2 linked regions of the Danio rerio genome follow. The protein of the gene in region 2 interacts with the protein of the main gene of each other region in a pairwise test. Links are inferred from orthologs where the notes say so. Each region holds a gene or a part of one and is shown on either strand. Other genes may lie near its edges.

Evidence for each region.
Region 1: the proteins of dzip1 (region 2) and ppp2r5a interact in binary tests that used the Homo sapiens proteins (3 or more experiments, as listed by UniProt). The link is inferred for Danio rerio from reciprocal best matches to the Homo sapiens genes DZIP1 and PPP2R5A.

Annotation. Positions count from the first base shown.
Region 1 is NC_133195.1:14,410,912-14,415,315, reverse strand, and holds the start of ppp2r5a (serine/threonine-protein phosphatase 2A 56 kDa regulatory subunit alpha isoform), read right to left. Parts: upstream 3,063-4,404; 5' UTR 2,647-3,062; coding exon 2,490-2,646; intron 1-2,489. UniProt on the Homo sapiens protein: The B regulatory subunit might modulate substrate selectivity and catalytic activity, and might also direct the localization of the catalytic enzyme to a particular subcellular compartment.
Region 2 is NC_133181.1:8,204,337-8,208,160, reverse strand, and holds part of dzip1 (cilium assembly protein DZIP1), read right to left. Parts: intron 3,557-3,824; coding exon 3,408-3,556; exon of another isoform or gene 3,305-3,407; intron 3,104-3,304; exon of another isoform or gene 2,731-3,103; intron 2,421-2,730; exon of another isoform or gene 986-2,420; coding exon 799-985; intron 437-798; coding exon 283-436; intron 1-282. UniProt on the Homo sapiens protein: Molecular adapter that recruits protein complexes required for cilium assembly and function to the cilium basal body.

The sequences.
Region 1 (4,404 bases), on a different chromosome or scaffold from region 2:
CGGATCTCACTATTGATGTGAGAAATTTTTTTTCCTCTCACGTGGGTTAAGCAGCGCTCTCATGAAGAGAAAATGAAATAAAACCTTCACATGATGAAAGCAACACTGGCGACCCGTATCTCCAAACAGTTCTTATTCTTTTCCCACAACGTTTGGCAACACAACGTGTGTTGTCTCTCTGCCGTCTGAACACTGTTTCAGGTACAGTCTAAAAAAGCTAGCATGCATATTAATGAAGTTGCATGCAGCAACATACATAATGAGCGCTCTGATTGGTTTGAACCAAGCCTTACTCATGAATGAATGCAACACACTCAGAAACATAATACGGGACGCTGAGGTACAGACGTCCCGTCTGCAAGCTGGAATACACGCTAAGATCTCATGGCCGTGATGCAGCTTCAAAAATTAGTTTTAAACCGGAAGTACGAATTTGCTCAAAATAACGCAAAAACAACTAATTTTTACTTTTTAGTGAGATATATGTGTCCTAATAGTGTTTTTAGCAGTGTGGGACACATATACGACTGTCAAGTGTCAACATTTTAAAAAATGTGTTTTGGTGTTTCGTCACCCTTTAAGTGTTTAAAATATGATATCATAGTAGTGATGGGTCGTTCTTGAACAATTCGTTCATTTTGAACGAATCTTTAATATGACTTCTGAACTACAAGCCCTCTCAGGGAGTGATTTATTCATTCGCGCGTGCATACATTTGTGCAGGTGGTATCTTTTGAGTCGTTCATCGCGGAAAGGGAGAAGCCAATCATATGCGTTTAGAGACAGAAAAAGAATTGATCCGTTCATCTCTCAAGTCGTCTATCGGGTTTGAGTCATCCGTTCCCCACAGGCCAATCATATGCGTTTAGAGTCGGTAAAAGAATAGATCCATTCATCTATCGAGTCCTCTTTCGGGTTTGAGTCATTCTTTCCTCACAGGCCAATCATATGCGTTTAGAGCCGGAAAAATAATTGATCCGGTCACCTATCAAGTTCTTGGGTTTGAGTCATTCTGTCACATGATGAATGAAAGACTCGAAGACTCGAAAAGGTGAACTAATTATCATGGCTCCTATTGGCTCAGATTGTGTACTTTAATTAAGATTATATGTGACTGTCAGTGTAACGTGAACGAACCACTGACATTTGAAGGCATGAAGAGGTGAGCTAAGCAAAGAGACCACAATACCTTCATAGACAAAAGAGCGTGTAAACATTGAATTATTATTTTCTCCTTCTTATAGTATTCTATTTATGACTTATTTGTTGTGTAATCAACCTTTTGGGCTAGTTGTAGATGTGTTTGGAAGCAATTCTTTTGGAAAATTGAACCAAATAAACGAAATGACTCGATAAAAGTTTTGTTCATCTCGACGAACGAGACTCAAAGATCCGAGTCAATAAAATGATCTGAAATTCCAATCACTATATCATAGTGGAACACCCCTTTACGAGATTGGAACGAAGTAGGGGTAATAACAGACTTTTTGGGGGAGGGGGGTGTACCAACCCAATTAAGGTATAATTACAGTATGAATATATTTGTGCTCAATGCATACATTTGTATTCTACACTTGCTCACCATTTTTTTTTTTTTCAAATAGGATATATTTGCAGAAGTATTCGGATGGCCTTTTAATTTTGCAGTAACCAGGGTCAAGTGCTTCCGGTGAACAGATACAAAATCTGTGCATTTATAAGAACTGTTTTCTTTAAAAATCAAGGATCTTCACTGCCTAAATGCTATACGCTATAAAGCAGGTCTAAGAATATAGAAAAAGCACTGCATCAAATTATTTTTTTTTTTGTCTTTGAAATATGAACTAAGTTCATTTAGATAACTAAATGAACGCTTAAGTCTTTTTAACAGATTATATTTTAATTGCATTACAACATCAATGATGTAAAAGGAACCGTATAAAATTGAAGGAAAAAAAAAAGTCATATTTTAGTTCACCGTTGCTTATTTTGGTAATAAGTAACGCAAACCTTGGTTACTTGATTATGTAACTCAAGCTACCTGTAATGCCAAGATTGATTACTTTCAACATAAAAAAAAAAACTAACTAAAGTAATTTCTGGAAAATATGGTGGCTTTTATATAGTATAGTTGTACTTGAATTACTGTGTTGTGGTAATTCTAAAGTTTCTATTGAAACAGCAATACAGTAACATTAACAAACAAATTGTTACTGTACAAACCTTCTACAAATATAGTAACATTATATCATACTACAATACACCAGTATACCACATTATTTATTAGTATATCAGTTTGCTATAGATAAACACTATAATATATACCTGCAGTAAACATCCCGAATAAACTTTACTATAGTGTGGTTCAAAAACACTAGTGCTTCCTATAAACGACAGCACATTTTTATGAAGGGAACTTCCTTTATAGGAGCTCCTTTATATTTTAGACAGCTGCCCAGTGTTTAAGACGCAGCCCGCGAGTGTATATTTGCAGAGCTTTATCCTCTTACCTTTGAGCTGCGGGAGCGCCGAGATCTCTGGAGCCGCAGGCCTGCTGCTGTTGACCGCAAATTGAGACGAGCCCTGGCATACCCTCTGCCTTTGCGCCTTCCTCACAGACTTCCGCGTGAACCCGTCCACTTTCTCCGACGCAGAAATCGCCGACATTTCCAGAGCAGATCTAGCAAAAAAAAAAAAAAAAAAAAAAAAAAGCTGCGCCTACAGTGAACGAGTGTGCCCTAAATGTTCTCTAGACTTGAGTGCAGACATCCCATTGACTGTGCTATGCATTAAACTCACGAGACCCCATCTAATGTGACACTGTCAGCCCACTCGCGGAGGCTGCATGATGATCCACAGGTACCCTAAGATGACGTATAAACGTAGACGTTAGTTACTGACGTGCTTTTATCATGCTTAAATGTTTACAAAACCATATAACAATGTCGAGTACAAAAATGCAGTCGCGTTTATCCAAGGAGACACTCCATATGAGGAAAAGAGTTTAATGCGAATCCGCCGAGGGTAAAATTCCTCAGACCCGCTGAACTTCATTCAGCTGCTGTTGCGCCTCAATGGAGTCTAAAAATAAAACCCCGTGGCGCGTTTGAGTGACAGCATGTTCGTCCAACGAGCGCCAGCACAAACACCAAGCTCCGCCCACTGACCAATCAGATTCTTGTTTTAATGGTATTTAGGGAAACACACAAATAAAAAGATACTGTATCCTTGAACTCGCATGAAAACATGCAACAAAACTTCAACAAACGTTCAACCACTCAAAAAAAAAAAAATAATAAAATAAATAAATAAAATTATAAAATAAAACAAACATACAGGAAAAACAACGTCCACAATTAAACATTTTAAAGAGAAACACTGTGAGAGTTAGTTGAACTTGGAGCCTTGTCAAAGGAGAAAGGGACAATCCTCAAATTGAGAAATAAAACAAACGCATAATCAATATTCGTAGTTAGAACGCAAATAAATGTAACTTTTTTATGAGAATAATTTAAACGATCACATTTTTACAGAAAATGTTTAAAACAACTTCCTTTTTTGTTTATAAAAAATGTCTAATATACGTCTAGACAGTGGTCTTAGCTGAAACAAGGCTACATTTGGGCTGTCAGTGAAAATCTAATGGATGTCTAAGAATATGCCAAAACTAGACTAGTTATTACATAAACAGAAATTAATACACACATAGTCTAATCTGTCTATTTGACGACTATAGTTTTGGGCTATTATATTAGATTAATCTATTAGATTTTCAATGACAGCCCAAGTTTAGGCTTGTTTTAGCCAATCCTTCAACGTTTTGATACCTAACAGACATCTAAAATTGTTTGCTAGGCCATGTCTAGGTGAACAAGGCATATTTCTATAGCTAAAATTAAGTTTCTGTATGCAAAAAGCATATCTGACCCACCATGCTGAAGATATAGTGAAAATAAAACAAAATAACAAGCAGGATGAAAACTTTGAGGCAGATCTTTCTAGTTAAGTGACATTCTAGCTATTCACACAAACTTACAAAAAGAAAAAAAGGCTGTGCTATAATGTAAAAGGTATTTAAATCATTACAAAAAAAAAAAAAAACCCTACTGCATTATAGAGATTCAATACGTAAAAAGCAGTGGGCTAATTGGAAATGGATTAGTTATGTAAAGTGCTGCTTTACAATCAATAGAGAACTGAAAATGTGACCCACGTTTAAGGACAATCTCAAATAAAGGGCATTACACATTTGGAAATAAGTATTAGAATTGGAATAAAAAATAAAGTATGATATAACACTGATTATAACACCCAAATATAATTTAATATAGTTTAAAAAGCATGTTAAATGGAGCAAAGTGTTTCAAACTGTCTGACAGACATGAAGGTATCAGAGAAACTTTAGAATTCAACTGTGGTGTCAAA
Region 2 (3,824 bases):
GTGATGATTCATAAGCACGTGATCCTCTCGAAATTAGTTTATGAATAAACTTCACATAGCACAGAAAAACAAAACATTGCAATGTCAGTTTTTTCCAACATTGCACAGCCATAGTTTACATGCCAAATAATCTCATCTTTGATGACACAGTAAAAGGATCAGAACTGTCCCTTTTAATCTGTCGCTATCCCTCAAAGCACAAGACTTTACACATAATTTTTGAAACAGTTTTTAAAATTGACTATGATCACTGATTCTCTCCTGAACACTTCAGTCCTGTACCTGCGATGCTGCAGTGGTGTGGAGGTCTTGTGTGGGACGTTGGATCTGCTGCGTGGGACAGGCTGAGGGGTTCTTTGCTGTTTAGAAGCAGGGCCAGACATCACTCGAGTTACTGTCGATGGAAAACTGCTGGATCTGGGTCTGGACTGAACCACTGTAAGAAAACAAGACATCAGCTTTACTGTAAAAATAAAAAGCAACCCAGCAGTCACCTTAATGTCAAAACGTCAAAAAACTGACATCAAGTACATCCAAAAAAAAAAAAAACACATAAAAAACAGCCAATAATATCCTCCTTTATATTAATTGTCCTTAACTAACATGTAATTACACTGAAATTAATTAATACAATGTACTTATTGTGTACATTAAATATATGTTTTTACATTGTACAGGTGGAGAGAAAATTAAATGCAATGTTTACTCTATTTGTTTTAGTAACAGATAAACCTGTTAAGAAGAACCAAATAAAAATATCTCAGCTTTGATACTGTGTGTGAAATCAAAGATCCTGACCTTGTTCATGTAGTTTGGGTTTGACAGGCTGCTCTGTGTTCCTCTCCTTCACCCTCTGCTCCAGTTTATGGCTGATCTCCTTCAGTGCCCTTCGATAAACAGGATCCTCCTCCAGTTTTTTCCGCCGATCGCTGATAATCTGGGTCATGCTGCTCTTATAGAGGTTTTTAGACAGACCACTGACTCCCTGAACAGCACAACAGAAACTGAGGTTACTCTTTTTGTTCACATCATGTTTTTGTTCATTCGGTTGGTCATGTACCCCCTTCAGAGTTTCCCCTACCATTATATTACAGGGCTCGAAATTAACCTTTTTGCTTGGTAGGAGAGGTGCTCCGAACTTTAAAAATTTAGGCGCATGAGGCAAAATTTAGTCGCACCCAACAATTTTGAGCACCGTTACTACAAACATATTTATAAGATTTGAAATCAACACTAATCAAACTAACAAGCAAAAAAATATATATGCAAGCGTGAGGAAAATATGTTTCAACAAAATCCCGTTATCACAAGAAAATAGATTTTTAAAACGTAACTTATGCATTATGCATTATGCATAACGTTACATCATGCTAATAGCCATACCGGTCTTCATGAGTAGCGATATTGCCAACCCAAGCTCATTCTGGAAACGTAGCCCCGCGGAAGTTTCTGGAGACCGCGATTTACGTGGCTGGAGGTACGTACGGCTGCGTTTAGTTTTTTTCGAGCGAACGCTGCGGGGTGGTGTAGCGCCACTCCTCTCCTCCTCTTCGCGCTTGCTGGCCGACGGCTCACCTCCGAGTGGAGGGCTTTCCCGATGCAACCAGTTTGTCCGCTTAGCTCACAGCGTTGCGTCGGCGGAGCTGAGGCCCCTGAGGAGGAGGAGCCGGCCGTAAGGACGACGACCGGGATCGAGTCTGGGGAACAGCGGTTACAGAAATCAGGTAAGATGAAAAACAGAATCCGAAAAATAAGGGCGAGAACGTGGCGGGATCCGAAAACGCGGTCTAAATCGAAGACGAGGGCTTTTGTTTTTGTTTTTTTCTGGACAGCTTTTGAAAACCGTCGCTTGGGTTTAGTGAAGGAGGAGGAGGAGGAGGAAGAGGAGGGCGGCCGGGTTGGCCGATCTGGCGGCTTTTCGCGTGAGAACAGCGCGGGCGCGAACGGAGCGCGCTCCCGAGAGGCGCCCGAGACGCGAAAAAGCGCGCACAGCGGCCTCTCGCGGCTCGGCGAAAACAAAAAACGCTCGAATATGTACCTCCCGGGACGTATCTCGCGGTCCGCAGAAACGTCTGCGGGGCTACGTTTCCACAATGAGCCCGGGTTAGATATTACTTTACTCAGTGTAAGCCCGTTTGCGATGATGTACGTTGTGTTAAATTTTACATATAGCTGCCACTTGCATGGCAGACAGCATCTGGCAATTATATAAAGGATTAAACAGAAGCTCGCGTGCTAGATGTGGCAAACAGTTACCTGAAAATTCCATCCCACAGACTTGAAGCCAATGAAAGTCTTTTATCCACTTTTCGAAAAGTGTAGGTGGTAGATTAACATTCAGCACATGGTCACTAGTACGATGTGTCATTATTTATAACTTCAGATGCCATGGTTTCAAAAACAAAATCTGTCAGTGTTATCTTCATTCTCATCTTCAGCGCTTTACAATTTTTCGCGGTAGTAGCTCTCTCTGTCATCCCAAGCCAGAAGGCACTCGCTGAGTGATTGACAGCTGATATTAACCAATCATTCGCGTTCAGTGCTAGAGCAGTGGTGGGCCAATAAGAAGAGCGCGTAGGCGGGGCAAGCATTTCGGACTTGGCTTTGTTTACTGCAGCAAGTTGACATGACAACTGTTGTAAACCATTCCTGAATGCTGCGTTTCGCGTTTCAGGTGCAGACAAACAGCTTAGAGATGCATTCTGCGTAAAATGTCTCACGAATCCGCGCATGTGGTGAACATTTTGGAGTAAAAACTGATCGCACACAACAATTTTAAGCACTCGCAAAAGTGCTCCCAAATATATTTTGAGGTCGCATAAATAAAATTTCGGGCGCATATGTGACCAAAATGGTCGCAATTTCGAGCCCTGTATTAGCATTCATTTACTTGTATAGAAATTTGCTGAACAACTGCTAATTAATTATTTTCCATAACACTATATAAGACTAGCACGAACTAGATTTGCTCACATCTTAAATGTGTCATTTGATCATTTGCAAGCATCTTCAATGTGTCATATTTCATTTTAAATGTATATTTATTTTATTTCATGCATTGTTCACTCATGGAGTTGTATTCTCCATGCATTCTGTCTTCTCGCTGTTTAAGCAAAGGCCACTGATTAAAAAAAACTGGCAGATAGCATTTTATGTAAAAGAAAAAGTACTATTTTATTTAAATACTATTTAGTTACTATTAATTATCTATTTAAGAACAAAATTTGACAGCAGAATTACAAATAAAATTTTAAGGACATCTTTCAAAATCTAAAATTCAAGCATTTTCAAGGATATCCAGCACCCGTAAGAACCCTGTATGTCATATTTACTGCTGCAAGATTTGAGAAAAGATGCCATTAAATAGTAGGTTGTCAGAAACCCCCTAAAAAGGTGTAAACACTAACCTTGATGCCTAAGCTCTGCAGTCTATCATCCAGGTTGTGCTGAGCTGCCAGACGCATGTCTCTCCTCAAACCCGGATTCTTCAGCAGCTCTTGCACCTCCTTCTGCCAAGACCTGTTTTCCGTCGGACTTTCAGAGATGCTTGAGGAATCTGAAAAAAAAAGGATAGGAATGATCATGGTAGTCTGTGTTCGACATACAAAATGGCACATTTTTTGTCATTCTCCAATTGCAGTGGCAGATTCAGCATCACGTTCCAAAAAACTTCTTAGTCAGAAGAAAATACACAGCTCGATTATGGAGGACTGAATGGAATTGTTTTATAAAACCGCCATTATAATGCTGCAAAGTGACAAAGTTTTAATTATATGCACGCTTGCATCTCCAATCAAGTTACTTTTTTAAATCAAAACTACAGG